Oryzias latipes: one gene and its partners. The protein of the gene in region 1 interacts with the protein of each later gene in a pairwise test. Links are inferred from orthologs where the notes say so. Each region holds a gene or a part of one and is shown on either strand. Other genes may lie near its edges.

What was found.
Region 2: the proteins of cyclin-dependent kinase inhibitor 1-like (region 1) and tex11 interact in binary tests that used the Homo sapiens proteins (3 or more experiments, as listed by UniProt). The link is inferred for Oryzias latipes from reciprocal best matches to the Homo sapiens genes CDKN1A and TEX11.
Region 3: the proteins of cyclin-dependent kinase inhibitor 1-like (region 1) and spred1 interact in binary tests that used the Homo sapiens proteins (3 or more experiments, as listed by UniProt). The link is inferred for Oryzias latipes from reciprocal best matches to the Homo sapiens genes CDKN1A and SPRED1.
Region 4: the proteins of cyclin-dependent kinase inhibitor 1-like (region 1) and flad1 interact in a two-hybrid assay, tested with the Homo sapiens proteins (2 studies listed by BioGRID and IntAct). The link is inferred for Oryzias latipes from reciprocal best matches to the Homo sapiens genes CDKN1A and FLAD1.
Region 5: the proteins of cyclin-dependent kinase inhibitor 1-like (region 1) and bccip interact in a two-hybrid assay, tested with the Homo sapiens proteins (2 studies listed by BioGRID, with this or other methods). The link is inferred for Oryzias latipes from reciprocal best matches to the Homo sapiens genes CDKN1A and BCCIP.
Region 6: the proteins of cyclin-dependent kinase inhibitor 1-like (region 1) and bag6 interact in a two-hybrid assay, tested with the Homo sapiens proteins (2 studies listed by BioGRID and IntAct). The link is inferred for Oryzias latipes from reciprocal best matches to the Homo sapiens genes CDKN1A and BAG6.

What each region holds. Positions count from the first base shown.
Region 1 is NC_019863.2:2,307,817-2,311,720, forward strand, and holds cyclin-dependent kinase inhibitor 1-like, read right to left. Parts: upstream 2,443-3,904; 5' UTR 2,439-2,442; coding exon of another isoform or gene 2,430-2,438; coding exon 2,015-2,429; intron 1,563-2,014; coding exon 1,507-1,562; 3' UTR 1,462-1,506; downstream 1-1,461. UniProt on the Homo sapiens protein: Plays an important role in controlling cell cycle progression and DNA damage-induced G2 arrest. Involved in p53/TP53 mediated inhibition of cellular proliferation in response to DNA damage.
Region 2 is NC_019868.2:11,387,147-11,392,064, reverse strand, and holds the start of tex11 (testis-expressed protein 11), read left to right. Parts: upstream 1-1,814; 5' UTR 1,815-1,932; coding exon 1,933-1,975; intron 1,976-3,136; coding exon 3,137-3,249; intron 3,250-3,574; coding exon 3,575-3,659; intron 3,660-3,787; coding exon 3,788-3,867; intron 3,868-3,950; coding exon 3,951-4,031; intron 4,032-4,136; coding exon 4,137-4,256; intron 4,257-4,472; coding exon 4,473-4,553; intron 4,554-4,642; coding exon 4,643-4,728; intron 4,729-4,821; coding exon 4,822-4,879; intron 4,880-4,918. UniProt on the Homo sapiens protein: Regulator of crossing-over during meiosis. Involved in initiation and/or maintenance of chromosome synapsis and formation of crossovers.
Region 3 is NC_019880.2:7,029,604-7,034,064, reverse strand, and holds part of spred1 (sprouty-related, EVH1 domain-containing protein 1), read left to right. Parts: intron 1-3,048; coding exon 3,049-3,310; intron 3,311-4,461. UniProt on the Homo sapiens protein: Tyrosine kinase substrate that inhibits growth-factor-mediated activation of MAP kinase. Negatively regulates hematopoiesis of bone marrow.
Region 4 is NC_019874.2:18,343,925-18,349,085, reverse strand, and holds the start of flad1 (FAD synthase), read right to left. Parts: upstream 3,345-5,161; 5' UTR 3,142-3,344; intron 3,057-3,141; 5' UTR 2,990-3,056; intron 2,249-2,989; 5' UTR 2,165-2,248; coding exon 2,157-2,164; intron 2,029-2,156; coding exon 1,881-2,028; intron 1,407-1,880; coding exon 1,029-1,406; intron 830-1,028; coding exon 716-829; intron 632-715; coding exon 364-631; intron 150-363; coding exon 2-149; intron 1-1. UniProt on the Homo sapiens protein: Catalyzes the adenylation of flavin mononucleotide (FMN) to form flavin adenine dinucleotide (FAD) coenzyme.
Region 5 is NC_019877.2:11,824,406-11,829,602, forward strand, and holds bccip (BRCA2 and CDKN1A-interacting protein), read left to right. Parts: upstream 1-1,830; 5' UTR 1,831-1,941; coding exon 1,942-2,082; intron 2,083-2,238; coding exon 2,239-2,313; intron 2,314-2,398; coding exon 2,399-2,479; intron 2,480-2,621; coding exon 2,622-2,708; intron 2,709-2,920; coding exon 2,921-3,108; intron 3,109-3,201; coding exon 3,202-3,370; intron 3,371-4,154; coding exon 4,155-4,325; 3' UTR 4,326-4,613; downstream 4,614-5,197. Other genes in the region: uros (uroporphyrinogen-III synthase), read right to left, coding at 557-631, 727-823, 905-988, 1,066-1,140, 1,765-1,794; putative pre-mRNA-splicing factor ATP-dependent RNA helicase DHX32, read right to left, coding at 5,017-5,197. UniProt on the Homo sapiens protein: During interphase, required for microtubule organizing and anchoring activities. During mitosis, required for the organization and stabilization of the spindle pole.
Region 6 is NC_019874.2:28,119,362-28,124,622, forward strand, and holds the start of bag6 (large proline-rich protein BAG6), read left to right. Parts: upstream 1-1,968; 5' UTR 1,969-2,093; intron 2,094-2,851; exon of another isoform or gene 2,852-2,853; 5' UTR 2,854-2,860; coding exon 2,861-2,941; intron 2,942-3,026; coding exon 3,027-3,144; intron 3,145-3,384; coding exon 3,385-3,599; intron 3,600-4,750; coding exon 4,751-4,822; intron 4,823-4,917; coding exon 4,918-5,040; intron 5,041-5,106; coding exon 5,107-5,261. Other genes in the region: glrx3 (glutaredoxin-3), read right to left, coding at 937-1,917. UniProt on the Homo sapiens protein: ATP-independent molecular chaperone preventing the aggregation of misfolded and hydrophobic patches-containing proteins.

The DNA of each region.
Region 1 (3,904 bases):
CAGCTGCTTTGAGATCATCAACCCACTCCTGCCGTGTTGTTTATTACCTCAACTCCCAGCACGAATAACCCAACAATTGTGTTGAAGAAAATAAAGGTGTGTGTAGAAAAACACAGATAAAACTCCTTCAGCGCTTCATCACCTCTTCCTCTCCTTGGATTGAGTTAGGATCCAGAAAAACCATCAGCCTTTTATTTCAGATTTATCACGGATCCACACAAACACGATGAATAACACAATAAATAAGAGTCGACTCCTGAGGAGCTGAAAAGTGATCGCATGACCAGAAGCATCAGCAGAAGTGCATTGGGGCAGGTTTGCTCTTTTCGAAGCCGTCAGTTCATACATGATTAAAGTGACCTTACATGACTCTCATCCAGATTAGGCGGAGCAGCAGGATTTGCTGGACAGATATGTCGTTTACAAGCGGAGAGCAGTAGTTCCATCCATGACACCTTTGCTCCTGATGGAAAAACCTTCCTCACGAATACATTTGGACCTGAAAATACTGTTCCTGATCGTCCTTTACGCACCTTAAAATACCTACAAGTACAACTTCTGTGCAATACTGCAATGTTTTTAGATTTATACTACTCAAATACATCTGATATATGCTGAATATATATCTATAACCCTTGTGCTATCTAGTAGGGTCCAGATGACCCCACTCCCAACGTTAACATGCCTTGGGAGCACGTTAACGTTGGGAGTGGGGTCATCTGGACCCTACTAGACATATTGGCTTGTACAGCTCACCGTCTTGTGGGGTCCAGGTGACCCCAGTTGGAAGTGGGGTCATCTGGACCCCACAAGACAGTGAGCTGAACCTTTTTTTTCAATGTTTACATGAAATCCTCTCCACCTTTATCTACATTTCTCATGGTAGGGATAACACGTCAATGTAAGGGTGGGGTCATTTTGACCCAACAACATAGCACAAGGGGTTAATGCTCCAAAGAGATAAATTGCTACACACTGAACATTCATAATCCAGAGCCATTCACACGTCAGGACAGAGCAGCAGATGAATTTGACGAATAAGAGACAGGACATGAAGGGAAATGCAGGTTTGTGGTTCGTGATGGAAGCAGAGCGTCTCTAGACTTGGAGACGTTGAATCTCTTTTTCCCAATAGTTCATATAAAACTCTTCACTTCAGCATAAAAAAAGGGGGGACATTGTGATTTTAACACATGCTGTACATCTTCCTCCTCTCCTGTGGGTGGGAGCCGAGATGTGGAATGTACAGCGGCGAAAATGTCTGTCATCACTTTGGCAACCGCTTGATCCAAATGAGGATAAATCCACTGATTCCGTGGATTACCGTTAATCTTCTCTGCTCAAATGTCCCCTTCTTAGCCCAGGGAAAGGCACCGATCCCCCCCCACATACAGTAGCCTAATTAACTGAGCAGTGAAATGTAGCTGAACCCCTCCCGAGTTCACAGGTACGGACTCCTGCGGAGGGCGTGGCTTCTGAGTGGGGCGTGGCGTGTGCGCTCCTCCGTCACTCGCCCGATTTCCGCGGCATCCAGACCATTCGTCGTTTAGCTTGGTAGAAATCTGCAGGGATGAAAGCGACACTGAGCTCAGGGGGAATCGGTGCAACGACACAGACGCAGCTGAACGTTCCACTCCCATCATATTTTGAGAAAAGCCTTCCCTGTCGTCTTTTGATTACGATTATGCCTTTTTTAGCCAAAATGAAATAATCTTGTCGTCACCTCTGAGATGTGGGCGGGGCATTAGCTCAGAGTAACCCCGCCCCTACCTCCCATTATCCATCTATTTGTACCCTCTCTAGCTGGCTTACAGCCCCTCACATTACTCTTCTAGCTCAGACGAGGGACTAAAAAAGTTTTTTGGACCTATTTGTCTGTAAATGAATGCAGATACTCTCTTTTTCTAACATTTTTTATCTGCTTTGAACAATTAAATACTAAGCTTTTCTTTATAAATGTCCTCCATCGTCAATAAAGCGTCATAAGAACACGATTCAAAACAAATGAAAGCACCTGTGATGTTTGTCTGTTTCCTCTTCATCCCGGCCTTCTCCTCCTTCTCTGGTGTTTTCTCCACGTTGAAGATGTTCTCTGTCAGTGGGATGTTCTCCTTCTCCCTCTGCGGCAGCTCAGATCTTCGTCTCTTGGGGGGGGTCCTGGTCTCCGCCGTCTTCTGGACCCGTCCAGCATCCTGACAGCGGTACAGCAGCGGCACTCCGGCCCCCGGGACGCTCTCCCACAGGAAGTGGCTGCCCTCCAGGGGCTTGTCGGAGCGGAAGTCGAAGCCCCAGCGAAGGGACGCTTCGTCCAGGTCTTTCCGCAGGGCGGCCTGGTACTCCAGCTGAAGCTGCTCCCGGTCCACCGGGCCAAACAGGTTTCGCCTCGCGGGCCTCCTGGGAGCGGCGGGAATCCGCTTTGGAGCAGCCATGGTTCTGCACTGTTTGAACACAGAACACTCCTGGTTAGATCTCAGATGTCATATGATGATGAGATGGATCATGTAAAGCAGTAAAAGAGTCAAAGAAAAACCCAAAGTGTAAAAAGTTCCGAGCTCACCATGACTGTTCACTCTACAGACCATCAGAGAAAAGCAGAGCTGTGCCTCTCCTCTCCTCCCTCCCTCTTAGGAGAGGCTGAATCATCGGTACATGCCTGGACATAATCTGACAGGCCGACAACACAGAGCCGCCACTAGGGGGCAGAGTGGCAATGACAGATCCACCACCAGAGGTGTCCTTCCACCTCAGTCTGCATGACAGACCGCATCACCCTGAACAGGACATTTTCCTTTTTAGGAAAAAAGGAAGTCCATCCCAGGCCAGGCTGGTTATCCAGGAGGACAAAATAGTCCACAGTAAAGCTTGTTGTTTTTTTTTTAAAGAGAGCAGAAAATGAGGATAGACAGCAAACAAACCCCCAGCAGCTTGTTAGATATGATTTTATTATAATACATAAATTAAAAATGGTTGTTCCTGTTTTTTTTTTGTTTTAAAAAACACTTTAGAAAACAATTTATACCAAAAATATGAATATTTTCCTTTATCTGGTTTAAAACTATTTCCAGTTCTTTAGTGATAATGTTTAAATTAATATTTAGGTTTCTCCACATTATAATCCCGCTGTTCTTAAAGCTCAGACTGATGGATATTGACATTAAATATCTTATTTTTGAATGTTTTGATTCTTCCATTGAGGCTGGAACGGTGATCTAGCAGAGTAACCCAGACTTTTCATGACGTCATAGACCGACATAAAGCTTCTGTTGTCTCTTCGGGGCGGGGTCACTGGGGGCGCGGCCGACTCCCATCGGGGCGGGCGTTCAGGCCATGGCGGGAGAGTATGAATCCGGGTTTGGACCAGCCCCGTTCGGTTACTACGAGGCTCCACGTGAACCTGGAGCACGTGTCCCCCATTCAAACGGGGCTGTCACCGCCGTACTCACGCGGAGGACGCGCGCGCGCATCAAAACACCCTAGATAGGACTTCTGGAAAACTTTTTTTTGATTTAATAAGTTACCAGGAAACTTTTTTAATTCATATAACCAGAATGTTGGATCAACGACGCTGAAGTTAGCATCCGATTCACAGCTTCCGATTCGCGAGTGCACTAAAGGAGCATTCCACTGTTTTTTTTGCACTAAGATCTCCTTAGATGGGGTCCGGTTCAAAAACTGCTGGACCTAGACTGCTCAAACCTGGATTAAATTATGATTTAGATACTGAAGAATACATTAAACACAGTTTCTGATTTGTGAAACCTTCCTCTGATTTGTGAAAATGTGAAATAGGTTGATTTTTATCGTATTTTACGCACTGAGTCCACCTTAGACCGGGTCCTGTTCAAAAACCACTGGACCTGGACTGCTCAAACCTGGATTAAATTATAATTTTGACACTAAAGAA
Region 2 (4,918 bases), on another chromosome or scaffold:
TCCTCACTTTATCTCCAAAGGAACATCAAGTAAGAAAACTATTTTTAGCTGCTAGTTTTCGAGACGTTTTGCCTTTCGGTCCTGACCTCTGTGTCACATCAGTTTTCAATAACATTCCTTTTCAGTTTTAGTTAATTGAACCTCAGTGTGTTTAAGACCATATTTCTATTTTCTTCCTGCAAGACTTTTTTGTCCTTTTTAAGGCATTAAAAGGTGGATCAGCCAGTGTGCTTCAGATTAAAGTCAAACAGATGGAGAACATTTCTCTTCAGGATTTGTTGGTAGACACTGGAAGCTGTGGTTCCACAGCAAGTCTTCCTGGTTCACCACTGTAACATGTTTGTTTTCTCACGTGCTGTGTTACTTTTACACCAAATGTTGTAGACAAATGTATTTTTTAGAAAAGATTGACTTTAATCTAATCAGTCCTTAGATTATTTACTCAAAGATAGCAGGGTCTTTTGACATCTCTTGAATAAGTTACTGCACTCTTGTGGTAATTTGTTCAACAGGCCACTCTGGAGATGGATCACAACTGTTCTTGTGTTTTCCTTGTTTGAGGAGATTTGCTCTCAATAAAGTGTCAAAGCTTCAGAAATGGCTTAATCATCAATGTTTTTGAGCAAGTGGTCCCAAAGACTGTTTTAATTTTTTCCTGAGTATCTCTGGATTGCAACACAACGGCAAACGTTTGAACCTTCAGTTCATGCTGGTCTTAAACATTATTTTCTTGATTATTTTTTTTGTGTATGGGTGTGTTTGTGTATGAGTTTTTGTCTTTGAGTGGAAAGAAAAAACTATCAAAATAAAAGCCCTTCCATGTTATTTCTTACATTGTATTTATTTTGTTATTTATTTACATTAAACGCTAATTTAAGAATACTTATATATAAAAAATTAATCATCTAGCCAGAATATAAGAAAGCAAATATTACCTACACTATGATGGCTACTTTTTTCTACCTTGTATATCTTACCTGATATTTGCTTTCTTGTAACATAGATTTTATTTATCAATTGAACTAGCACATAACATCAAAAAAGAAAAATAGTAATAATAACATATCCTTTTTTAAACCCTTTTAACATATAGCCTAGTAGTCAATAGGCCTAAATCAGGAGTCTGAATCTGAGGCTCCAAATCCAAATGTGGCTCTTTGTCCCTACATTATGGCTTTTTGGCTTTGAAAAAATTCTAATAATTTGCGTAAATAATGGTTTTGTCGTAGTCAGGATTATTTTGAGTTAATTACGTTTTGTCATTTATTTTTAGATTTTTAAAATGTCAGGTAACTGAGCATCATGACAGTAAAAGGTTTAATCTATTGTGTGTGGTTAAAGAGAAGAAACGCCTAGGAAGTGCATGGAGGAACATTTGTAGAAGTTTATATTTACATTATATAGATTTGTTTTGCCTGGTTTAATATTTGAGAGTAAAAGGAAAAAAAATGAAGGCCCACCAAAATCATAATAATAGAAAATGTTATATTGGATTTATCTTTCTATCTTTTTAAATTTAAGTAAATCTCCTGTAGCAAAGGATCCTATTTGACACAGGGTGTGTTTTATTTTGAAAGGATCTTGTCAAAAGTAAATAAAGTTACAATTAATAAATGCAGAAAAACATAACACTGTTATAGTTAAATTACTGTAAATATTTGAAAACTACATAAATAAATTCTATTTTCTAATTGATAAAGTGAGCTTTTGCGGCTCTAAATGGATTTTGGTCCGCATTTACAGTCAATGGTCACAGAAACTTGCCCAAAAGGCTCTTTTAATGTTAAAGTTTGTCCGCAGACAGGAAGTAGCATTAACTGACCTCACATAGTACGAACTCCGTGGCGTCAACGTCCGCCTCGTTTTCGCGGGCATTTTCGGGCGATTGTAAATTCTCCTTTGGTGAGACATCTCCTCCAGACAATCCCGCTTATGGAAGCTTTCGAAATGGAAGAATTTATTTCGACTGTGAAATGTGAGTATAAGTCGGTTCAACTACATTACACGGCTAATTACAGATACAAACCATAAATAATTGTAACTGCGTCATCAGCAGGGGTAGGGGGTAATCAATGAGTTATATCGCGATATAACTGGGGCTAACCTAGCTAAACCATCTGCTAGGCCATGTACTATTTTGTCAAGCTAGTTTAATGAAATGAATTAAGCACATAAATCCTACCTTAGCTTTAGCCTTTGTCCGAGTGAAAAAAATGTTTGCTTTATTTTTTAAACAAATTAATTATATTTTTTCTTTCTTTAAAACTACCTTAAAAAAACATGCAGACTGCCATAAATAATATTATATAAATGTTGGGTTTATTCAGAGAAAAATCTATACAGAAATCATGAGAGCAATTTTAAAGTTAACGAAGAGAATCTTGAAGCTGTTTTTATGACAGACAGACATGCTTGGTTTTATTTTTGTTGTGGAACAATGGCTGGCAAGACTTTTAGGGTATAAATAAAGTTTATTATTTTGAATTGGTTAACAAAATTATCATTTTACTCTTTAAAACGGGAGCATTATGCCTCAGGGGGCTGGAGGGTCTGTTTCTGTTACCCACACATTTATGCATATATATGTGTGTGTATATAATATATATATATATATATATATATATATATTATTTTTTTTTGCTCAATCCTGGATAAATACGATAAAGAACATTTGGCAGAAATCAATATTTTGGAAATTGTTAAGAAAAAAGGGCAAGTAATTTTTTTCACTGTCCAGCTTGATTTGAAAAAAACAAAAATAGAACAAACTAAAAACAAATGTCTCTAGTTATTAAAAAAAGTGTGATTTGAGGCTTTGCAGCAACAAAAATAACTTAGAAGTGTACATAACAGTTACCATTATGCTTTGACTGTGAACTTCACTCACAGAATTCTTTTTAACACCCACTTTTAAAAGTGTGGAGGGTGTAATTTGCATCAGCTTCATATACAACAACTTGCCGCCTCACAGATCTTAAAAGCATAAGAGAACAAGCATATGCCAGAACCCTTTTCTGCTATGGCAAACTAGAAGTTACTGTCAAGGGGAGCAGTTATTGGATGTGTCACATATATTTATTGAACATCTTTTACTCTTAGTGTGTCTATTCATTTCAAACGTTCTGCTTTTTCACAGGTCTCACAGAAAACTTACAGCAGAAAGATCTAACAGATTGCGATGAGGTTATAGAGAAGCTTTTCTCTGAAGTCTCAGGCTTAGATTCCTTTCTCAAAATACCAGATCCTCAGGTAATTTATCAATCGTTTTAGATTGTACTATTTTTAATATAGTCTATAGTCCTGGACAGATATGTACAGAAGAGGATTAGGGCCATGGAGAAAGAAAAAAAAAAAGGGCATAGAAAATTCTGACTTTAATCTCAGAATTCTGACTTTATATGTTCATGTGGAGCTAAACATTTTTTCCCCCTATCCCAACATATCTTGAACCTGCAACTTCGAAATTATTTTATAGCTTAACTACTTTTTAGTAGTTTTAGTAGTAAAACTGAATGCTTAAGTCTAATAATATAAGTTATTGGCATGTTTTTAGTGTCTTGTTTTACTGGTACAGATTCAGGAGTGTGCCGTCCAGTTGTGGAACTGGGCTGTTACCAAGAATGTGGGAAACGCCATAACTGCAATCCAAAAAGCTAAAGGTATTCTTCCAATTGCAGTCTGTATAGTTTTTAAATGTTTACCTTTCTTGATTTTCTAAAACACAAACCTAATTATGGGGATTACAGGCAAGGTTAATGCCTCATTTAATATTTTTTATCATCATCAGTTCGCCATGTTGCATGCAACCTGCTGTACTGCTTTGAGTCTGACAGTCCAACAGAGGGCGCCTTTCGAAAACAAATCTTGGTAAGTAATTCTGGAGGTTTTCCTTTTTATAGCCTGGCATTTCAGGAGGATAAGGCCTGTGTGTTGATATCTTATCCTTCCAGATGGCCAGCAAAGCAGGGAGAGCCTGGCTGAACTGCAAAAACTTTCAGATGGCAGATCACTTTCTGAGACTTGCCGTCAAGGTGAGAAAGAAACGTTGGATAAAATCTGGAAATGTTTTTAGCTGAAAGGAGAAGGATGGAATTATTTTATTCTTTTACAAATGATCCAACATGGTATATTCCTAGAGCTTGGAAACCCTTTACCGCCAGCTAACGTCCAGAGCCAATGACGAACCTGACATCTTGTCATCCAAGGCAGATGTGGAGAAGGACCTTCTTCGGATCCTGTCGTGCCAGGCTGAGTCGGTGAGCAGTGCTGCATGTGATGTTCAACACCTTAAATGTGAATATTTGTTCTTGTGATATTTTGCAGCTTGGGAGGTGCTGTTCTGACAGACTTGCAGTGTGAAGTGTAAGACAGTAAAATTGTGACTGAGAAACAATGAAGGGGGGGTTCTGAAATAGCTAATTGAGAGAAGTTCATTTCCCTTCATTTAATACACAATCTGATCTTTGTTACAGGCTATCGCTCAAGGGAACAACCAAGAAGCCATAGTGTTCATCGAGCGATGCAAAGACATACTGCTGCGGCTGCCAAATGAAGTAAAACACAGCTACCTTACTGTTCTCTTACATTCAAAGCACATGTTGTTGAAAGTGAGGGGGGTGTTAAGTGTGAGCTTTCATCACAGACGGCGTACCTCTCAGTTGTCTGTTACAACTTTGGAATCGAGGCATACAATCTGACAAAGTTTGAAGACAGTGCATTTTGGCTGAGGTAGTAGATTTATTAATGTGGTTTGATAAAAAGTAATAAAATAAAAAAATCCAGGGTAAAAATGCATCTCTTCCTCCTTGTTTGTTTTTGTAGCCAAAGCTATGACATTGGAAAAGCAAACATGAAATATGGTCCAGGATCAGAAGCTCTGGTAAGACCCCGTAAGACAGAATGAATAGAGTTAGCAGCA
Region 3 (4,461 bases), on another chromosome or scaffold:
CTGTCCACTGCACTGATGTGGCTAGAAAATTCCTCCACGTCCTGGGTTTTGATTTTACCCATGTGTTACCCACATACAAGTTGCTCTGTTGGCCTGGATAACAGAATCCTGTGAAATTGTCTTGATTGTCATTTAATGGGGAAAAGCATTTAAAATGTTGTTGCATGCCAGAAACTTTTGCACATATGTTGGTTAAAAAAAAAAAAGAAATAAAAAAAATCTTGTTTAAACATTGCTGCTTGTTTTAGTAGTTTACTTATCACCAACCAGATAGGCAGAACAATGCTGCAAAGCAAAATTTGCAACATGGAATAAGCTGAGTGATAGCTGGCCCCTTATTGAAGAGTGGCTTGTTTTGCAACTTTTGCTTGCCTGATTGCCTGAGGCTTGTTTTGCCTCCATTTCAGCCTCATGATAGAACACAGAGGTGGACAGAAATGTTGCTCTGTTCTGCAACACTGCAATTCATTAAACATTGTAGCAGAGATAAGGGGTTTCATGTTGTGAATATACCGTGCAGATTGTAAAGTAAAAAAATGTTGATTACTTTTTTTATTGTTTTTTTTTTTTTTTAATTAAAGAATGTCTGCAAATCTTAAAATGACCTATGTGTCTTCCGCAGATTTGACTATAGATTATTATCCTTTCATCACAAAGAATTTGCAAGCCCTTACGCTAAGTCTGTGTAAAATCAACTTTGGGTTGTCAGATACGCTCAAAACTCTGGGCACCTTTTAGCACAAGTAACTAGGGAGGTGTAACATGTACTGAGGCCTAATGTCCTTATTTCAGTCAGTGCAGGTTTGAGTCTCAACCTGTCAGTCCTTACTGCATGTCCACCCACACCTTTCTGCCCTCACGGACTGTTAAATAAAGGCACCAGATCTCAGTAAATAAAAAGGCAAACTCAGTAACCTCAACATGACATTGCAAAAAATTATAGCATTGAAAATTCCAACAAAGTTTTGTTTGTTTGTAAGTTCTAGTCTTGCATTTCTTTAAAAATAAAAATTAATGTGTACTTAGTTTTCTTAAAACAAGTTTTCTTTCTGGCATACCTTTTTTTTTCATCTTAGAGGAAAAAAAGTTTCACAAATGAATACATAAAAGAGAAAGGAGAACGATTTGTGAGATTTTCTTCACACAACATGACACAGGCCTGTGTAAAGGTAATGCCTGGTTTGCTGACAATGATGACTCAGCCTTTGTTTCTCAGCTGGTGTGATCTGTTGGCCAAACAAGACAATTTTCATCTTGGTTCCTATGTTAATGGTTTACATACTCTTAAATGAGTCCAAGCCAAAACTGAAGTGACACATTGCAGACCCACAAGTTACACTTTTTAAATTACAACTAATGATGGTTTAACAAGCCCAATGATGGACTGGGGAACTGACTAGGGTGTACCCCGCCTTCGGCCTTCTGTAGCTGGGAAGGCTCAAGCATCCAAGTGACCCCAAACACGAATAAAGCAGGTTTAGAAAATGGATGGACGGTTACAAATAATTGTCTTATAATGTGTGGATTGCACATGTTTGTGTAAAGTTGGAAAGGACCACCAAATAAACCAAATACGAGGTAAAAAAAAATACTGTGTTTATGGATGGACATCAACACGGAAAGATAGAGTATATAAAAGACAGTTGTGTGGGCAGCAACTTCACGGCAGCAGGGCCACAACAGGAAAGTCAGGGGTGACAGAATAAACACGAGGATAAAAAACAGAAATTTTACAATTCACACACATTACACGTGCCACTCTTCTAATAGTTGAAAATATTTAGGCAAAGTCCTCGGTATCCAGGCTTCCTAAGTTGTTACCACATGAAGCATTCCATGATGCCTTTATTGTATCAGTAATTGACATTTTTTGGACTGACAGTTTCTCCTTTAGAAATATGATGATATCATATTTTTGTCTTCTAGTGTACTCTGAAGGTGGTAGCAAATAATTAGAATTCCTTGCCCCCCCCCCCCCCCCCCCCCCAAAAGCTTTTAACTAAACCAGACTTTCTAAAACTTGTGGTAACGTTGCTATTAAAACTACAGACTACAGCTGGAGTGGACTAGCTTGTGTAGGAAGCTCAAATACTATCACTAAGGAAATGGGATAGAGTAAAACAAATAATAAGCAACAGTTGAAGTAGATCTGACATTTTCTTACCATTTTCTTACCTGGTGACCTTCAGATCTACTGAAGTCAGGGCATCAGAAATAACCGACAGCTCACTGAACCAACAGGGAGCAGTAATAGTGGGAAAGAGGTCAAAGCAAGCTGGAGACCAAGTCGTGTGCTATCTGGTTTAAAACAGCTCGCTTCAGAGGGAAAGCTGGAAATCAGCACTGGCCAAAACCTGAACTTGACCACATGGTCAGTACCCTCTGGCTGGGGTTAATATACTCGGTTTTAGACAGTTAATATCCTGTCAGTTGATCTGATGCATACAAGGGACAAATTATATTTGAAAATCAGTACTCACCAGTTTTAATCAGAAGCTGTTGTGCCTTTTAAATGTTTTGGCAAGTAGTTTAAGTCTTTTGTAAATGTTTAAAAGGTAAAAAGGAACATTTTCTTACATTGCAGAATCTTTTTAAACTAGAAATAGTTTTTCTATCTCCCATTTGAATGTACAGGTAATTTGTGCTTTACTAAAGTGACAGTTTCCTATATTAAAATCACAAAACTGCCTGTTATGTTTGGAGGTTTAGATTAGAATTTTGTTTTCTTAATTTGCTTTTATGATAATTAATATAGAAAATCCAGTATTTGTGTTATGATTGAGACTTTCGCATTTGTACGGGAAGTTCTCCATGGGGCTTTGAAATGCCAAAAATTGTGTTTTGGGAAGGCTCTGTTGTGCTTGATTCAGCTGCAGTATGTGGGCTGATGGTTCATGTAGGTTGTTTATTTGTGATTACAGTTTTGTGGTCTAAATGATCAAATCAAAGAAAAGATTCCTGACAGAAATCTCAACATATGCTGGCTGTTCTTCATTCTGGAAACTAACCCCATTTTTCCTCTTATCTTCTCCCCTCTTTCCCATATAGTGACAGTTACGCGCGCGTGAGAGCAGTGGTCATGACTCGGGATGACTCCAGTGGTGGGTGGCTTCCTTTGGGAGGTGGAGGCCTCAGCTGTGTCACTGTCTACAAGGTTAGCCGTGCAGAGGACAATGGCAGCATTCACAGCGGTGAGAGTGGCAGCAACCTAAGCCCGTGTAGCTCCAGTCCTAGTCCGAGTCCGAGCCCTAGTCCAAGTCCCACTGCTGTGGAGTTTCACATCAAGGGTGAAAGGCTCAAGGACAAACTGGTAAGAAAATGTTAAGCATGCATGTTCTGCGAATATTTGTATGAGCAAGAAATGGCATGAAACCTCACTATACAAGACTCCCATCTTTCTCTCAAACACACAGGAAGTGTTTTTGGCCTTCCTCCTCCCTTTTTTTTCCTCCTGAAAATAAATGTGTGACGCATCATGACGTCATGAAGGAAAAAGAGCGGATTAGTCAAGAAAAGAATGTGGGTAGATGGATGTGGGAAACAAAGATCAGGAAACAAAGCTAAGGATGAAGTATAAAAGAATTCAAATAAAACACCACCATTTCCCCACCACTTTACATTCATCCTCCTTCCCTTGTAAGGCTGTTGCTTGGATCAGTAACTTTGCCTTTGTCCTGTTGGTTGAAGACTGTTATTTTTTTAAAAATATCAATGATTATTCTTTTAGATTATGTTACTATAAAAGAAACTTTAAATCCTGGAGTTAAAAAACAAATGCAGATAGGAGTCATCTGTTAGAAAGTAATTTTGTCTATAAGGTCGGAGGATGTAAGTGGGATTTGATGAATACATAAAGAGGGCCTCATAGGTAAAAAGAAATGGTTACATCCTAAAACAGATAAGTTTTTCTTTAAAACATCATAAGTAGCATTTTTTTTATTTCAATTCACTCCATGTGTTTATATTTGTATGTGTTAGTAGCAAAGGAAAAGGTGTGAATGGAAAACTGTGGTTCATAGAAAAGCATTTCTGTCAATGACTGCTAGAGGACACACTAAAACATGTGTGTGTCTGTCAGAATCCACCTATTGTGTTTCCATTAATCACACAGTGAAGAAAACAGTAATAATTTTTAAAGAGATATACCTTTGGTCTTCAAATTTGAAATGCCAAAAGAAGGGAAAGGAAACACCTGAAGGCTATTTAGTGTGATTATGCTCAGTGTACAACAAACTTGTATGTATACCGTATATACACACATAAAAATACAGTGAGGACATGTGTAGCTATATTGGAATGATGTGATGGGGATGCAGAAGATAGAGAGGGCTTGAGAATGGAGTAGGGGAGAGGAAATAGGGGAGGATCCAATGAGATGGGAGACAGAAGATGACGAGAGAGGTGGAGGGGTTCTGTCTATAAGCGCAGTGATGCGGCACAGACTGTGCTGGTGATGACTCA
Region 4 (5,161 bases), on another chromosome or scaffold:
CCTTCTGAGCGCAGCGTAGTAGAGGTGAAGCAGCGCCGTACAGTCTTTGCCTCCATTGAAGGCCACGCAGATTTGATCGGATGAATACTGGTCCAGAGCAGCTTCTATGGTCTTCAGTGCTGACTTGACTTTCACTCCCAACATAGTAGCTGTAGAAAAAAGTTGGTGGAACGTTATTTTTAACTTTACATACATTTGAATAAGCAAAATTATCCCAGTGTTTCTTTTGGATGCTTAGGAATATTAATTAGGTTCAAGTTGAAGCCTTTTTTCCTCTTTCCAATCGAAACAACAGTTAAACAAAATGGACTATGGTTCCAATATCTCCCAAACCGCCACATTTACAGCCTCTGTCACCCTCACCATCGTCAGCCAGTTTGTGGACCTCAGTAGGGGCAATGGACACCGAATCTCTGACCAAAGTTACAACGCTACCCTTCGGCAGCTCCTCCACCAGCTGTATTCTGGCTTTTTCCACCTCCTCCAGGCTCTCCGAATCCAGGACCAGTCTGACTTTGCTGTAGTTACTCAACCAGTCGGGGTAGGACCCAAGAGCCACCCTTTTGCCCCAGCTGGCCTGCAGTTTGGTCAGAGTGGGTGCGATGTCTGTCTCATCTGCATCCACAAACACCTTACAGGACAAGTTTGGTTACCCCTTTTTGCCCTAGTAAAACACATGAAAATCCTTGAATGACTTGCATGATGATGGCGTTACCTCACGACTGTGAAAGGTGGTTCCTGAAGTAGCAAAGAGCTGTTCCAGCCCCGTGAAGGCCCTCTCCATTAAAGCCGGGATCCCAGGGAACACATACACATTACGCACACTGACCTGTGAGAATGAGCATTCATACAAGAAAAACAAACACGTCTTCACCACAAAAAATATCCTGACCTATAAGAACTTCTTAAAATCATGAAAATTTTTATCTGAACCTGACAAGATGCATGAAATTCATTTTCAAGGATATTGAAGAAGTGAATATAAATTACTTAAAGCTATGAATCCCATTCTGTAAACATTAACATACCACAGGGTAGAGTTGTGGTTTCCCAGTTTGAGGATCCACTCCATAGTTGAGTTTGGCAGAACGGGGCACCTTAGCCATCTTCATGGCCGGACTGTTTTTGTCCGTCCCCCCAAAGAATTCCTTAACCAGCAAGGTGAGATCCGGATGGTGATACATCTCCTCTTGGAATGCCATGGCAATGCTTTCCAAGGTGACATCGTCATGGGTGGGTCCGATGCCCCCCGAGGTGAACAGGTGTGTATACTGAGAGGAGAGGAGGGCTACCTCTTTGGCTATGACCTCCTGTATATCTGGTATGACGGTTATACGCTGTACAGAGACGCCAAGTCTGCGAAGTGCTTGTGTTAGAAAGGTGCTGTTGGTGTCCACTGTGTAGCCCTGAAAAGAAGACAAAGTTTGACTCTAGAGTTTGCAGCCACACACACAAGTGACATTCAAGGACTACAAAAAACTCCAGACCGCCGCCTGATGAAATTCAAGGAGTCACAGTGAGCGTATGCTGAGAGTGAGGCGTGACATTGGACGAAAATCAAAGAGCTCATGTTTAAATCATGATCATGTCAAGTCAAGGAGTTATAGTCAACTTGTCATTTTAAATATGAAACATCACTGCCACATCAAATAACCATCACAAGGTTTTCCTTGGATCTTGAAATGGGGATCTGAGACGGGATAAGAGGCCCAAAATGATAACGACTCACTGCACATGTTAATAACATCAAACATCGTTTATTTAAGCCGTATTCAGGAGGCAGTTGTGCGTGATCTTTCAAGAAGCGAGCCTCTGCCACTCATTCTGAGGTTGAAAGCAACACAAAGCAAAAATATCAATCAACAACAAAAAAACCTCACCTTTAGAATCTCATCTCCAATGATAAGAATGGCTGCAGTGGGAGCCGCAGTGGAGCTCTGCCTCTCGGCGGACATGGCTGCTCTGCTGAGTTGTGCCGTCAGCCTCCTCACACGCACCCCCGCTCTACTTAAACTGGGCAAGGAAAAGCTGGGAAGAAATGTGTGACGTATAAGTGTTCAACTCCAAAACAAATTCCAAACCATCTCTTAAAAGTCGCCTTTAAAGGCTAAAATTAGTCACTATATGTTCCTTCATGCACAAACAACAATGCTTACATAAACATGGATCCACACAGACCACCCAAAAAAAGATCTACAGCAGTTCAGACCCTCTTTCCCTTCATGATTCCTATTCAATTAGGGGGTGTCTAGGGAAACAAAAAACATAAGAAGAAATAAGGGCAAAGAGCATTTAGAAAAACGAATGTAGTTCTGAGATTTTGAACATCGGCAATTTTTATTTAAAATGCAAGTCATGTAATAATTTGGGTCAGAAATGCTATTGTCCACCTTCAAAATCTTCCATGGAACAACTAAAACAAAGTCAACATGGACTTTCATAATTATGCTGCAGTATCTAACATAAACCTTTATTTGTTGATGTTGCTAAAATTCATATTGCCAATTTGTATTATACAATAAATTTATGAAATAAAGAAAACGATCACATTGTAAGTCTGCAACGTTGGAGACCCAGTTTTTCTTTACTGTGATTATTTTCTAGTAAGTTACAGAGAGAGTAGCAACGTTGGACACAATCTCAGTCTTATGTACCCTTTACATATTATTTTTTTACACCAACTTAAATACAGTTATGGACAAAGTTCTGTATTTTTATATTTTAAAAGAAGCAACTACTTTGGGGGAAAAAACTAGTGCCCGCGTTAAGGACTTTCAAATGTACGCTAGTAACTCTGAAGTCTTCTTGCTAGGTACTACTTCAACCTTTGGAAGGGAAGTCAACAACATCGCATTATTGCTAAAATACTAAATACCTTTTTATACTATTAATATAAACATTTGCGATTCTCAGTTAAGATGCGCTCGTAGTGTATCGAATTTGTAGTCCGGTATGTGAACATTATGTCCTTAATTTAAAGGTAACTTACTGTTACTCTGAAGCCGCATATGTCCTCGTTATGAATCCCCACAGCTGTGACGACGGTGGCTCAAGCCCTTTTGGTCCAATCACAAAAAGGAAAGTGACGTTAACAGCCAATGACTTTCAAGGGGCGGGTTTTAACGTTATGCATGTTCTTACAATATCCGGAAGCACGATAACGGTGATCGTCTTAGTTTGTCCAGGTGGTGTGAAGCTGTAGTTTGACTGTACCGAGAAAGGCATTGCATACGTCTGGTATCTAAAAAGTCTTTTCCCCCAGATTTGACGATTTGAGCTACTGTCAAGCTGACCGTCGCGGAAGGATGCGAGGGACGACTTCTTCGAAGGGGAGAGAAAAGGACAACAGCTACTCTCGCACGCCCCTAGTGGCTGGGAGGATCAAATCGGAAATTTCTGATCAGATTATCAACCTTGAAGATGATCAATCCGGAAATGTTGATGGCGCATTTTTGTTTATGTAATATTTTCTGTAAAAAGAGGCGAAATTTTAGCGACGTGTTGAAGGTTTAGTGTCTATTTTAAAGACAGATAAAAAAAAACCTGACCTACATTTAAATTATTGCACAACATTAGAATACAAAAAAACAAACTTTAAACCAAATTGATCATGTTGAGCAGTTCAGTGTCCTTGTCTGTTTCCCCCCTTTTTTTATTCTTTTTATGGAATTGTCAGATTACATTTTAAAAAAATTTTAGATGGTAATTTCTAAAATGGAGAATCAAGGATGTGGAAGTCAAATCTGAAAAATAAACAAAAGGATCCTGTCTTTTCAAAATTAGTCCTGGAGTCTTTATGAGAGAGAGAGAGAGAGAGAGAGAGAGAGAGAGAGAGAGAGAGAGAGAGAGAGCAGATGCATTTAATAAATGTATATAAATAAATATTTAATTAATAAATAAAATCCAGAGCATCTCCAATTTGCAGCAGTAACGCAGGTCAATAAAGGTCTCCTTTATTGTTGTGAGCAGTCTCTTTAAGTCTTGGGTTTAGATTTTCTTTTGTTGGCATTGTTTTGTTGCTTTTTAAGTTTCATTACTTTATTGCAGTTTGACAGAATTTACTCACAAAGACATCCATGACTGCAGTAAGTTCTGTCCCAGCAGAGGCTGCAGTGAGCTGAAGAAAGGTTAGTTTATCTTACACATCACTCATGTATAATAGAGTAGTAAAAATAAAACCTGCAGATATTCCTGCAGATTGATCAGTTTTTGACCTGTATAATAAAAGGTTAGCCTTCACTCTCCTGACAGACGACCAGCACCCATCGTTTATTTAAACCATCAGTTTTACTTCTATTAATGTGAGGACACAGGGCTAAAGTTTTTTTAGACTATGAAACTTGACAAAAACATTTTTAGAAGAGCTTTTCTCAGTTTTTGGTTATAAATAAAAATAGCCGTTCTTCCTCATGAAGTAATACAATATGAAGATGTTATGTACATGTTGCTGCTGCAGTCTAAACATGATGTTGTTTTTGTAGATAATCAATGTAATAAATCTAGCTATTTTGTAAAAAATAATCTATTTTTTAAAAATATTAACATTATTGTTATATTGTTGCAGAAATGTGTCCATATAAAGATGTTATAAAGTTATTTAGAAGGGAAAACATACAAAAAAAGGTGGGGGGGGGGCTTTTCTGAGTGTTAAATTATTGAATATTTTCGTGCACAGACGGATTCAGGAGAAATAAAATATCTGCCCCACAAAACACAAACTTGGGCGCGCGCCCACGCGAACACGTGCGCACACAGCATCTGCGAGCGAACAGATGACGTTGCCATTTGTTCGCGGAAGTGCCGTGTGTCGTGACCATGGAGGGGGTGAGACGGGAGGGGGAGGAGGAAGGGAAGGAGAGACTTGTTGGGGAAAGAAGAAATTGAGACCTACGAAACTAAACTTTCATTTTTATTATTGTTTTATTTTTGGGCGTCCGGTGAAGGGAACCGTCGACGCTCTGCCCGGGTGTATGATAGTTAGCTGAAGTTTGTGTAGCTGCAATTGAGGGGGGGTGGGGGGTTTGGAGGGGCAGACGAGGGAAAGAGAGGAAAAGAGCTGGTAAGTAGCTCGTAAAGTTGACTGACCGCACTTTTTTGGTGTTGTGGAATGAAGTGTACGTGCGGCTGTGTGTCAGTCTTCCCTATTGCTTCTATGAAAAGT
Region 5 (5,197 bases), on another chromosome or scaffold:
AAGTTTCTTTTGAGGTTGTCATTTAAGTGTAATACATTTTTTGATGCACTAATGATTAGTTTCAGTTTTTAACACTGAAACACTTCAAGATAAGACATTACTGACTTCCTATCATTTTTTTAAATGAGATTTTACCAACTTTTAAAGGGATCTTGAGTCATGTTCTGCCCCGCCTTGAAATACAGATAATTTTTTTATGTACATTTTTTTTTTGTATCTCTAGGTTTGGGTCAAAGGAAGGACAAATTTAAGGATTTTTTTTTACCTGCTTCCTGTATCCCATTAAAACACACAAACACCAACTAAATAAGAAATAAAAAAAGGTCAGCTGGTGGTAAAAGTGGAGCAAACATTAGGAACATCTTGCACCTGGTTTCCTTTCACCTTATTCTTTTCAAAGTGTGTGGCAGCAAACAATTACTTGTGCACAATTGGCTCTAAAGCCTCAGATCACTTAACATAAGAGTGTGAGCTCCATGTGCCTGGCACACTCGGCATATATTTGGTTTTCATGGATCGCAAAACACCCTAAAAAGAAAAAAACCTGATCACTCACCTAATGCAGCGGTGGCCTTTCCAACCACATAGATGGGTTTGGTGTTCCACTGATCTCTCAGAGACTTGTTCCACTCTATAACAAGAGATGATTACATGTTACATCAATTTATTTGAAGTAGTAAGCCTAGCAGAAGAACAGAAATGTTAATTCTATTTGTGATATTCTACCTTCTTTTCTTTTTTCTGCGTCTAAGCACATTTTCACAGCCTCCACTGCCCTGGGGCTAGTAAATATAAGGCCTCCATGTTTTTCTGGCTGAAAAAGCTGAAAAAGAAACAAAAATCATAAACAATCGATATCTAATAACTTCAGGTATAAATATATATGTAAATATAATTGCTTTACCTTATCAGCCAATGTGTTTAATGAGACAAATTTAAATGACAGCACTGGAATTAGTGTAGCTTTGTGTCCATGTGATGCCAGCTCCTTCAAAATAAAATCAAAGAAATATAGCCACTATAATTAATGCAGAACTTTACCAGAACACTGAAACCTGCATCTACCTTAAGATATGGATCAGGTCCAGAAGCTTCTTCTCTGGGCTCTTTCAGAAGCAACACGTGCATTCTGGCGATGTCCTTTCAAAAATAATGGTAATATAAACAAGGGAAAATGCTAGAAAGACAGTTGGGACTCGCAGAACTGCAGAAAGGTTTAGGATCTGATTTAGCTAAGCTACACCCTTGAGCTGTTACATGCAGCCTCCTGATAACGAAGCTGCTGAGTCACGGTTAGAGGGTTGTTCATTATTATAAACACAAAACCAATTTATTGAGATACTTTGTTTAGTGCCGATGGGTAACTCATCCTCGGAGTCGAAGTGTTTACATTAGCAAGAAGCAGCAGATGACGTAGGCAGCTCCAGTTAGCTTCCTGTTTATGTGAAATGTGGGTGACATTTAGGTAATTACTCCATTAATTTACCCTCAAAATAGTAATAGAAACAATGCAAAAATAAATAATAATAAATAAAAAATAATAAACGCAGTCAGAGTTGTTTTTAGCGACGAGGTCCTATCAATCATTGGGTATGGTGGGGGGAGCTACAAAGACCAAACTTCTTCATTCACTCAACAAAGTTCTTAAAAAAAATTGTATTCTATTTACACATGTATATTTTTTAGATATGTATTATATTTTAAACATCATAGTGTATTAGATAAGTTAACTGTTTTAATTAAATTACATTTTAAAAAATTCACCCCCCAGAAACTGCAGTGGTATTTTCCCATTTTGCTAGTGTCAAACCGGATCCACTGGCAGCTGACATGAACGGAGTCAGGAGCCGTAATGGCGGCTTCCCGACACTAGTTTCTTTCCTGTTTCCATCGACTAGCTCCGCCTACTTCAGATGACACACGCGTGTTTCATGGTGCAGCATGGCGTCCTCGGCAAAAAAGAGAGCAGTAGGTTTGGGTGAAAACCCAGAGGAAAGCGAGAGTTCTGATAAGAATCCCGAGGATGATGGGGATTCCGAGGAGGAAGAGGAGGACAGCGACGCATCAGAAGAAATTAACGAGGTGAGTTATGGCACCAACCCAGACTTGTTAGCAAAGCCAGTTAGCATTAGACGCTAGCAATGTCAACAGATGGTTGATAATCTGCTCACATCATGTTTTGGTTTTTACATAGTATCTTATAAATTATTTTCTCCCTTTTTGTTTACACCTTTTCAGGAAGTCACCGTGGATTTTGAAGCTCACACCATGTCAAACAACGACTTCAATGGCATAAAAAAGCTGCTGCAGCAGGTTTAGTGTAGTCTTTATCATTGGTTAAGGCTGTAGGGGGTGTTATAAAGCTTTCACTGATGTTGCTGTCTATGTTTGGATCTAGTTGTTCCTGAAAGCTCATGTAAACACATCAGAGCTGACAGACATGATCATCCAGCAGAACCACATTGGAAGTGTCATCAGGGTATGTTCCTCCCTCCCTCCCTCCCATTCATTCATTCATTCATTCATTCATTCATTCATTCATTCATTCATTCATTCATTCATTCATTCATTCATTCATTCGTGGCTTTAATTGACAATATCTTGGTTCACCACTGCTTTAGCAAGCTGAGGTTCCAGAAGACAGTGATGATGAAGATGCAGATGAAGTGTTCGGTTTTATTTCTATGCTAAACCTCACAGAGAGAAAGGTAAGAATTTATTTATCAATGGGGGGAAAATATGATTTTTTGTGTGTGTTTTTAACATTATCCTGATGATGGGAAGTGGGGATGGGCTTACTCCACACCAACTCAGAGGGGAATTTCTAAATAACTACTGCTGCTCTGCAAAAACTATGTTCTAAAAAACTATTTTTTCTTTTAATTTTGACTAAAAATCTGGCGTCCATCATTCTTTTCAGGGTGTGCAATGTGTGGAGGAAGTGAAGGAGCTGATTTTGGAGCAGTGTGAGAAGAACGCTCCTCATGCTCTGACAGAACAGCTTGAGAAAATCTTCAATGACACCAATAAGCCCGTTGGGCTTCTGCTGAGTGAGCGTTTTATCAACGTACCCCCACAGATCGCCCTCCCACTGCATAAACAACTCCAGTCAGTTCAATTTTAACTTTTTTGACAACCTAAATCTTGTATATTGAAAATATTTTCAGGAGCAATTTTGAAATGTATTTCATTCAATTTTAGGGAGGAGATAGCTGACGCTCAGAGGACTAATAAGCCCAGTGGGAGGTGCCACTACTGCGTGATGATTAGCAAGACCTGCAAAGAAGCATCTAAGAATATCCAGTCCAGAGGAGGAGTTCCTAAAGAGGACTACATGTTTGTCAATGCTGAGGAGGAATTTTTTTATGAGGTAAAAGTTGCAGAAATGCAGAACAGCAAATCAAACCTCCTCATAATCATCTGTCACTGTACATTCCTTCGCACTTATGGAGGGATTTTTGTACCATTATTCCACACGCAACACTCACTGGTTTGATCGTAAAGCTTTACAAATTGTGTGTGCTCAAAAACTTTGAGCACATTTTGAGAAAAACGCACTTGAAACTCAAAAATATGCTGAAACAAAACAATGTTTGATCTTGAAACTGAAAATCACAAGTCAACTAGTCAATCAGCTCAGAGACTGGATCTGCGAGCTAATTGGATCAGGCTGGATCAGGTTTGGGCACGATTGGAATTTCTGACCACTCAATGTCAACCATCATGTCCATGTCTGTGATTGGCTGGCTTTCGGGGCACATTTGTAACGCGGTGCCCTACTTTGTTTCGAGCGCAGAAGAGAGAAATTCTCCCAAGTGAAAACTGTTTTGTTTGTACATATTTATCTGTTTGAAGACTAAAATTGTGTTTGTACACATTTTTGTCTTTCAAGTGCATTTTTTCTCTCTTAAGGTACAAAAAGATTATTTGACCGCACAAAATTTTATCCTCAAAACAGTGAGTGTTGCGCTTGGAATAATGGCACTAAAATCACTCCATACCCAGTCAGTCACTCCAAACAGATTGCACACGGCTAATTGCCATGTGCGCTGCGGTGCCGTTAACTGCGAACACAGAGTCAACAAACTACTTTATTTTAAAAGTAGCTTGCGTGTTGAAAGTGTGGTTTTCAGCTTCTGTTTCATCTTCAACAGGAAGCACTGTTGAAGTTCCATTACTCGGTCCAGGAAGAGGCGGACTCTTGTTTGAGCGGCAGGTGGTCATTCGACGACGTGCCCATGAAGCCTTTCAGAACAGTGATGCTGATACCTGCAGACAGAATGCCCGCCATCATGGACAAGCTGAAAGAATACCTGACTGTGTGACGCAGCTCACGAGTCCAGACCACTGCAGGCTCATGAAAACATGGTTTCATTTCTATGTACAGAATGGTTTTGACCATATTTGTTGCAAATGTTTTACTAAAGCTGAACTATTCATGCTTTTATTATAGTTCCTCAGCATCAAAATTTACATCATAATTTCACATTTTTACAGAACTGGTTGGAAAAACTGCAAAAAAAACTTTAAGACTCAGATACGGTTTTATTTTCCTGTAATATTTTTGATTAAAAAAACTTGTCAACGACTCTAAATGAATAAAAAGGCAAAGCAAAAAAATGTTTTCGTGTTTCTTACTGCATCATGTTTTTTTTTAGCACTCCAAAGTTAATAATAATCCGAAAATGACCTCAGAAGTCCATTTTACTATAATCTGGATACATGTTGCAAAGTTGTAAAGAAAAATAATTTCTGCTAGCATTCGGTTGACTGACCAATAATTTTGACTATAATGCAGACAGGGGGTGCTTAAAATACTTAAACACATTATTTAAAGCCATTTTTTATGCCCACAAATTAAAATCACTTTTTTCATAAGCAGAAAAAACAATTTACAAGTATGAGACGTGAACATACAAGAGCATTAGTTTACCCAGCTGGAGGTTAAATGGTGAAAACTGCCGCCTCTGTGGAGATTGAAACATGTTTTGTACAACTTGGGAGTATTTTTTCAGGTCACTGAATCGCACATCTGTCATGGCTCTGAGTTGCAGCTGCGCAGCTGTTTGCATCGCCGCTCATTCTTGCAGTTTGGGTCTTTTCTTTGCAGTTACTGCATCCGTCTGAGTCCAGCAGAACTTGCAGCATGTCTTTGCTCTCACTAGGAGGCAGATTGTAGAAGTAGTACAGCGGTGCC
Region 6 (5,261 bases), on another chromosome or scaffold:
TTTAGAGGCAAAGGTACTCAAGTGCATAGGTACATGTACATTTATAGATTTTTTAAAAAGGATTCTACACCAATGCTGTCACGTTTCTATTAGTTATCAAAATGAGAAATGAGAAAAAGGACGAAGGCACCCCAAAGTCATGACAGAAAATGTCATGATTGACATGTATTTTAAATTCAAGTAAATCGGAGCTTTTTCACACAGGGTGTTTTATTTTGAAAGGAACTTGTATGTGCTGCCGTCTAAAGTAAAATAGATTCAATTTTATTACGTGTATAAAACAATACATTTTAGAATGCAATTGTAAATATTTCAAAGCTACATTTTATAAATGAATTAATAAATGATCACAAAAACATAAAGTGTTTTTTTTTATAACAGTGAAGTTGGACTTCATGGCTCTTGCTGGGTTCTTTTAATGTGAAAGGTTCCAGAACCCTGATACTGTTGGTGCTTTTACATTTACGCCCACAAGGTGGCGCCAGAAAACCTGTCACACGTGCTTACTATACCACATGTATTACAAACGTGACATGCTGCTGCTTTTAACAATTTTATTGAGTGTGAGCTTTAGTGCATGAGCTCTGTTCAAACTTTTTTCTCATTTCAAAGTAAACTCAGTTTACTACAGCCAGTTCACCTCTTTACAGGCAAAAAATAAAACAAATAGAAACGTTTTGTTCTATTTTGATGGGAAATTTATTATAGGCTGGAATTTGCAGTGAACATGAGTAGATTTTCAGCTTCTCTGGTGGTGTTCTTGTCATAAAGATGAGGATGGAGAGTCAGCAGCTTCACGTCATCTGAAAGTCTGTGAAAAAAGAAGAACGTTTCCCACGATCAAAGCCGACGAGCAGCTTCTTTGACCTCCTGGGACCTCTGAGGGGTGCAGCAGCTGGTGCAGGCCTGTGCAGTGATGTCCTGTTCCCCGTCCATCTACGACTCCCCCCTCAGTACCGACTCCAGCTCCCCACTCTCCTTCAGCTCCTTCACTATGTCCAGGCCCCCGATCAGCTCCCCTTTCACGTAGAGCTGGGGATAGGTGGGCCAGTTGGAGTACGCCTTCAGGCCCTGACGGACCTCTTCGTCCGACAGGATGTCAAAGGTGTCAAAGTCCACCCCCGTGGAGTTCAGGACCTCCAGGATCTGCCTGCTGAAGCCACAGCGCGCCGCCTCCTTGTTGCCCTTCATGAACAGCATGACGGGGCTCTGGTTGATGATGGCCTTCAGGCGGTGCTCCAGGGTCACGGCCTTTGGGCAGGTGGTCTCCAGCTCCCCGGACTCGGCCAGCTCCTTCACGATGTCCAGCCCCCCCAGCAGCTCTCCGTTCACGTACAGCTGGGGGTAGGTGGGCCAGTTGGAGTACGCCTTCAGGCCCTGACGGACCTCTTCGTCTGACAGGATGTCAAAGGTGCTGAACTGGACGCTGTGCTCCTTGAGCAGCGCCACCATCTGGCGGCTGAAGCCGCAGCGGGGCTCCTGCGGGGAGCCCTTCATGAACAGCACGCAGGGCGCCGCGTTGATCAGCTTCTTCAGCCGCTGGTTCAAGTCCGCGGCGCCGCCGTCCGCGGCTCCTCCTGGGGCGGGCCCGCTACCCGCCAGGCCCTGGACCTTCTTAGTCAGCTCCGCAGCGTGCGCCCCGTCCAGACGATCCACCTTCTCACCCCCCTTGAAGAAGATAAAAGTGGGGACGGAGGATATGTCATACTTTTCCGACACATCGGGAACAGCCTCCGCCTCCAGCTTCACAAACGTCGCGTGCGCGTGTGCCTTGGCCAGCTCGGCCATCACTTCGTTCATGTCGCCGCACTGAGGAGCCCATGCCGCCTGGAAATGTACAACCGCGAGGTTTTTTCCAGCTTTTGCAAGGAAATCCTCGAACTGTTGTCGGCTCGTCGCCTCTAGCACATTCGCCATCTTTGCTTCTTTGACCTCGACAGCAGTCCGGCGGCTTTCTGACGTCACATCCGTTCAGCCCTAAAAGCTGTTAGCTGTAGCATAGCCGCGACGCACCGGAGAAGTGCTCGGCTTTCTGAATATAAGAGCCTCCTGTGGACTCTGGATACGTTAAAAAACATTGTATGATTTAAAAGGTAAGCGTTTGACGGTGTGACGCATAAAAAACGGAATGTTCTGCGCTTAAGCATTAGTAGCGACACGACAGATCAGTTAGCATCTTTAGCTAATCTGTTTGGCTAATTAGCCAGTCGGCGTTTATTTGGTTCCTAAAAAAAGTAATCCTGCTGAAGAGCAAGTGGCGATATGTTACTTTCTATCTTTTGTTATACTGTCTGTCCTAAATCTTAGTTTAATATTACATCGCTCCTGTCCTTGTTTAGCGAATACAGCCGGGCTAACTGTTTTTGGCTAACGCTAGTACAGGGAGTCCGTCTTTGGGAAAAAAACAAAGCATTAAATCAAATTTAACCCACTGAGTCTAACATAAAGATATAGATGCTATTTTACGTTAATTGTATGTTTATTAAAATTCTTGTTTAGGAAATAGCTCAGTTAATAATGTATTTTAAATTAGAGCTAAATAATTCAGCTGATTGTAGTTATCCGGATTCCTTAGTTAGAGATTTTATTTTCTAGACTAAAGGCTGGTTAATAAATTCACTTCAACGTTGCCTGTTTGTTAAAAAGAAGAGGTGATCTAGATGATTGCTGAAAAATTGGAAACTACGCTCACTGTTCTTCATAAACTTATAAACATGCCGTGGACGCACCATGCTTGTTGAACAGATTGTTAAATAACCTGGTGCTTATCAAAATTTTTGTAAAAGTGTACAAACACTTTAAAAAGTCACATAAACAGAATAATTTGTAATTGAAGATGTAATACAATTGCAGGAACGCTATGGATGAACAAACCTCAGACATAGAAGTGACGGTCAAAACTCTGGACTCTCAGAGCAGAACCTACTCAGTCGGTGCTCAGGTAAATGGAAAGTTCCTGCTGTAAATATTTGGGTAGTTTCCTTTTGTCTTTTATGATCTGACTGAAATGATCCATTGTTTTGCAGCTGACAGTTAAAGAGTTCAAAGAGCACATTTCTCCTTCAGTGGGCATCCCTGTGGACAAACAGAGGCTCATCTACCAGGGCAGAGTACTGCAGGATGAAAGGACGCTGGCAGACTACAGTTAGTCAAAGGATATATTAAATCTTCCTCCTCTTAACCTTTCAGCTTGTTGCTTCAGGGAGTCTCTCCATCTGAACATCCCTTCTGCCTCCTTTCAATCACACCACCAAGGAGCATTTCAAAACTATTTCTTTTAAGTAAAAATTCTGTCATTGAATTAGTTTTTGGTTCCATCTGCTCTTTCTGCTGATTTGCCACTGCTTCTGTTTTAGCTGACCATATTCTCCGCTACTCTTGTAGATGTGGCTGGAAAGGTGATTCACCTTGTGGAGCGGGCCCCCCCTCCACCCTCCCAGCCTGGCTCGGGGTCAGGGGCCACCGCAGCCGACAGCGGGCAGTCTTCATCCTCCCAGGGAGCATCGCAGGTGCCTCCACACGATCGCAATGCCAACAGCTATGTCATGCTTGGAACCTTCAACCTCCCCGTCAATATCATGGACCCCCAGCAGATACAGGTAGGTCTGCATTGTTGGTGTGCGTTGTCAGGGATGAAGGCAGCACTGCTCAACAGATGACGAGATTCCAGTTGCTCAGGGCAACTAAACTCTGTGTTTCGGCATGAAGATCTGAGTTCAGTCAAGTTGAAACATTACTTTTCTAAACGGCTGCCTTCAATCTGCCATGAGGCTGTCTGCTTTTGTTAACAACCTTTGATCACAAACCTGCAGGAAATTTTTCTTAAAAGGACCAAGTCTTCTGGATCAAAATGACATGAAAGTCAGATGGGTTCGTTCAAAGTGAAAATAAAACCACAGGGATTGATTTCAGATTTTAAAACCATCTAGATGTAGTCGGTTTATCACGCAGAGCACAAGTGAATTGTTCTGTGTGATCTCTGCATTGTTTTCATCTCAGCATTTTCCACTATGTCCGATCATATTGTGTGGAGATGTTAAAGGGAAAATGGACAAAGATGGACTTTAGAGACTCCGGCATATGAACTCTGTTCATGTCATCTTGATGGGTTTGCTAAATTATCCTAAAAACAAATACATTTAAAGCTGCAACGACTGTTGAATGACCATTGCCACCCTGCACCATGGGCCCATCAACAGCCCCCCAGGTCTGTCTGCTGCCCCCAGCAGCTTCTCCTCGGCCTGTGCTGCAACAGAACAGGATTAAGGCGTGATGCTCATCCTCTAACTCTGCAGCCCCATCTGAAAATGGTGCCACAGTAAAACCCCACCCGCTCCTCTACATTCCATGGTCCATGACATCAGTGAAGATGGAGCATAAAGAAATTTAATGATTTTTACTGGATGGCTCTTTCTTAGGGGATATATATATATAAAAAAAAGGTTTTACTGGCCCAATTTTACTTAGTTTTTTTTGTTGGAAGAGAACAAATCGTTTACTTTTTATGACAAATTTTTGAATCAGTTTTGCGGATTTTCATGCATATTAGGGGTCTAATTAGGTCTCAAAGAGGGAGAAAGTAAAATAATAAATAATAACAATTGCAATTATGACTCTTAGTCCACTTTGTGATTGCTTGAAGACTGTGGTTTAAGCCGAAAATTACTCAATGATATGATAAAGTATATAATACTTATATAATAAAGACACTAACTGTACATTAAAGCTGTGTGATTCTTGTGTCTCCTAGATGTCTGTTCAGCAGATGGTCTCTGGAATGGGAGATAATGCAAGAAATGCTCGAGTCACAGCCAGTACTGGAGTAAGTAATAGAAGCTCCCTTCTATTCTTTAAAAGCTCGTCAAAAAACAGGATTTGAAACAAAAACCTTTTCTTTCCTGTTGTGACTGCTCTCAGAGCAACGGGTCTGTAAACGTTCACATCGACATGGACCAGCCGGTGCAGAGCGAACCCAGGCTGAGGCTGGTTCTGGCCGAGAATCTGCTGCGAGACCTCAACGATGTCATCAGCAGGATGGAGGCGAGCCACTGCGCCACAGGAGTCTTTATCTCCCAACCGCCATTCACTGACATTTGTCGTTTTTAGGGTCGACAGAGCGATTCCCAAACCTCCCAATCAGAGACGGCCTCTGCTGCTGCTCCGCCTCCTCCCTCTTCTTCCTCCACAAGCTCCACCCCTTCTCCCTCCACTCAGCCCATGGACACCTCACCTCCTCCAACAACTCCACCCACCTTCTCTGC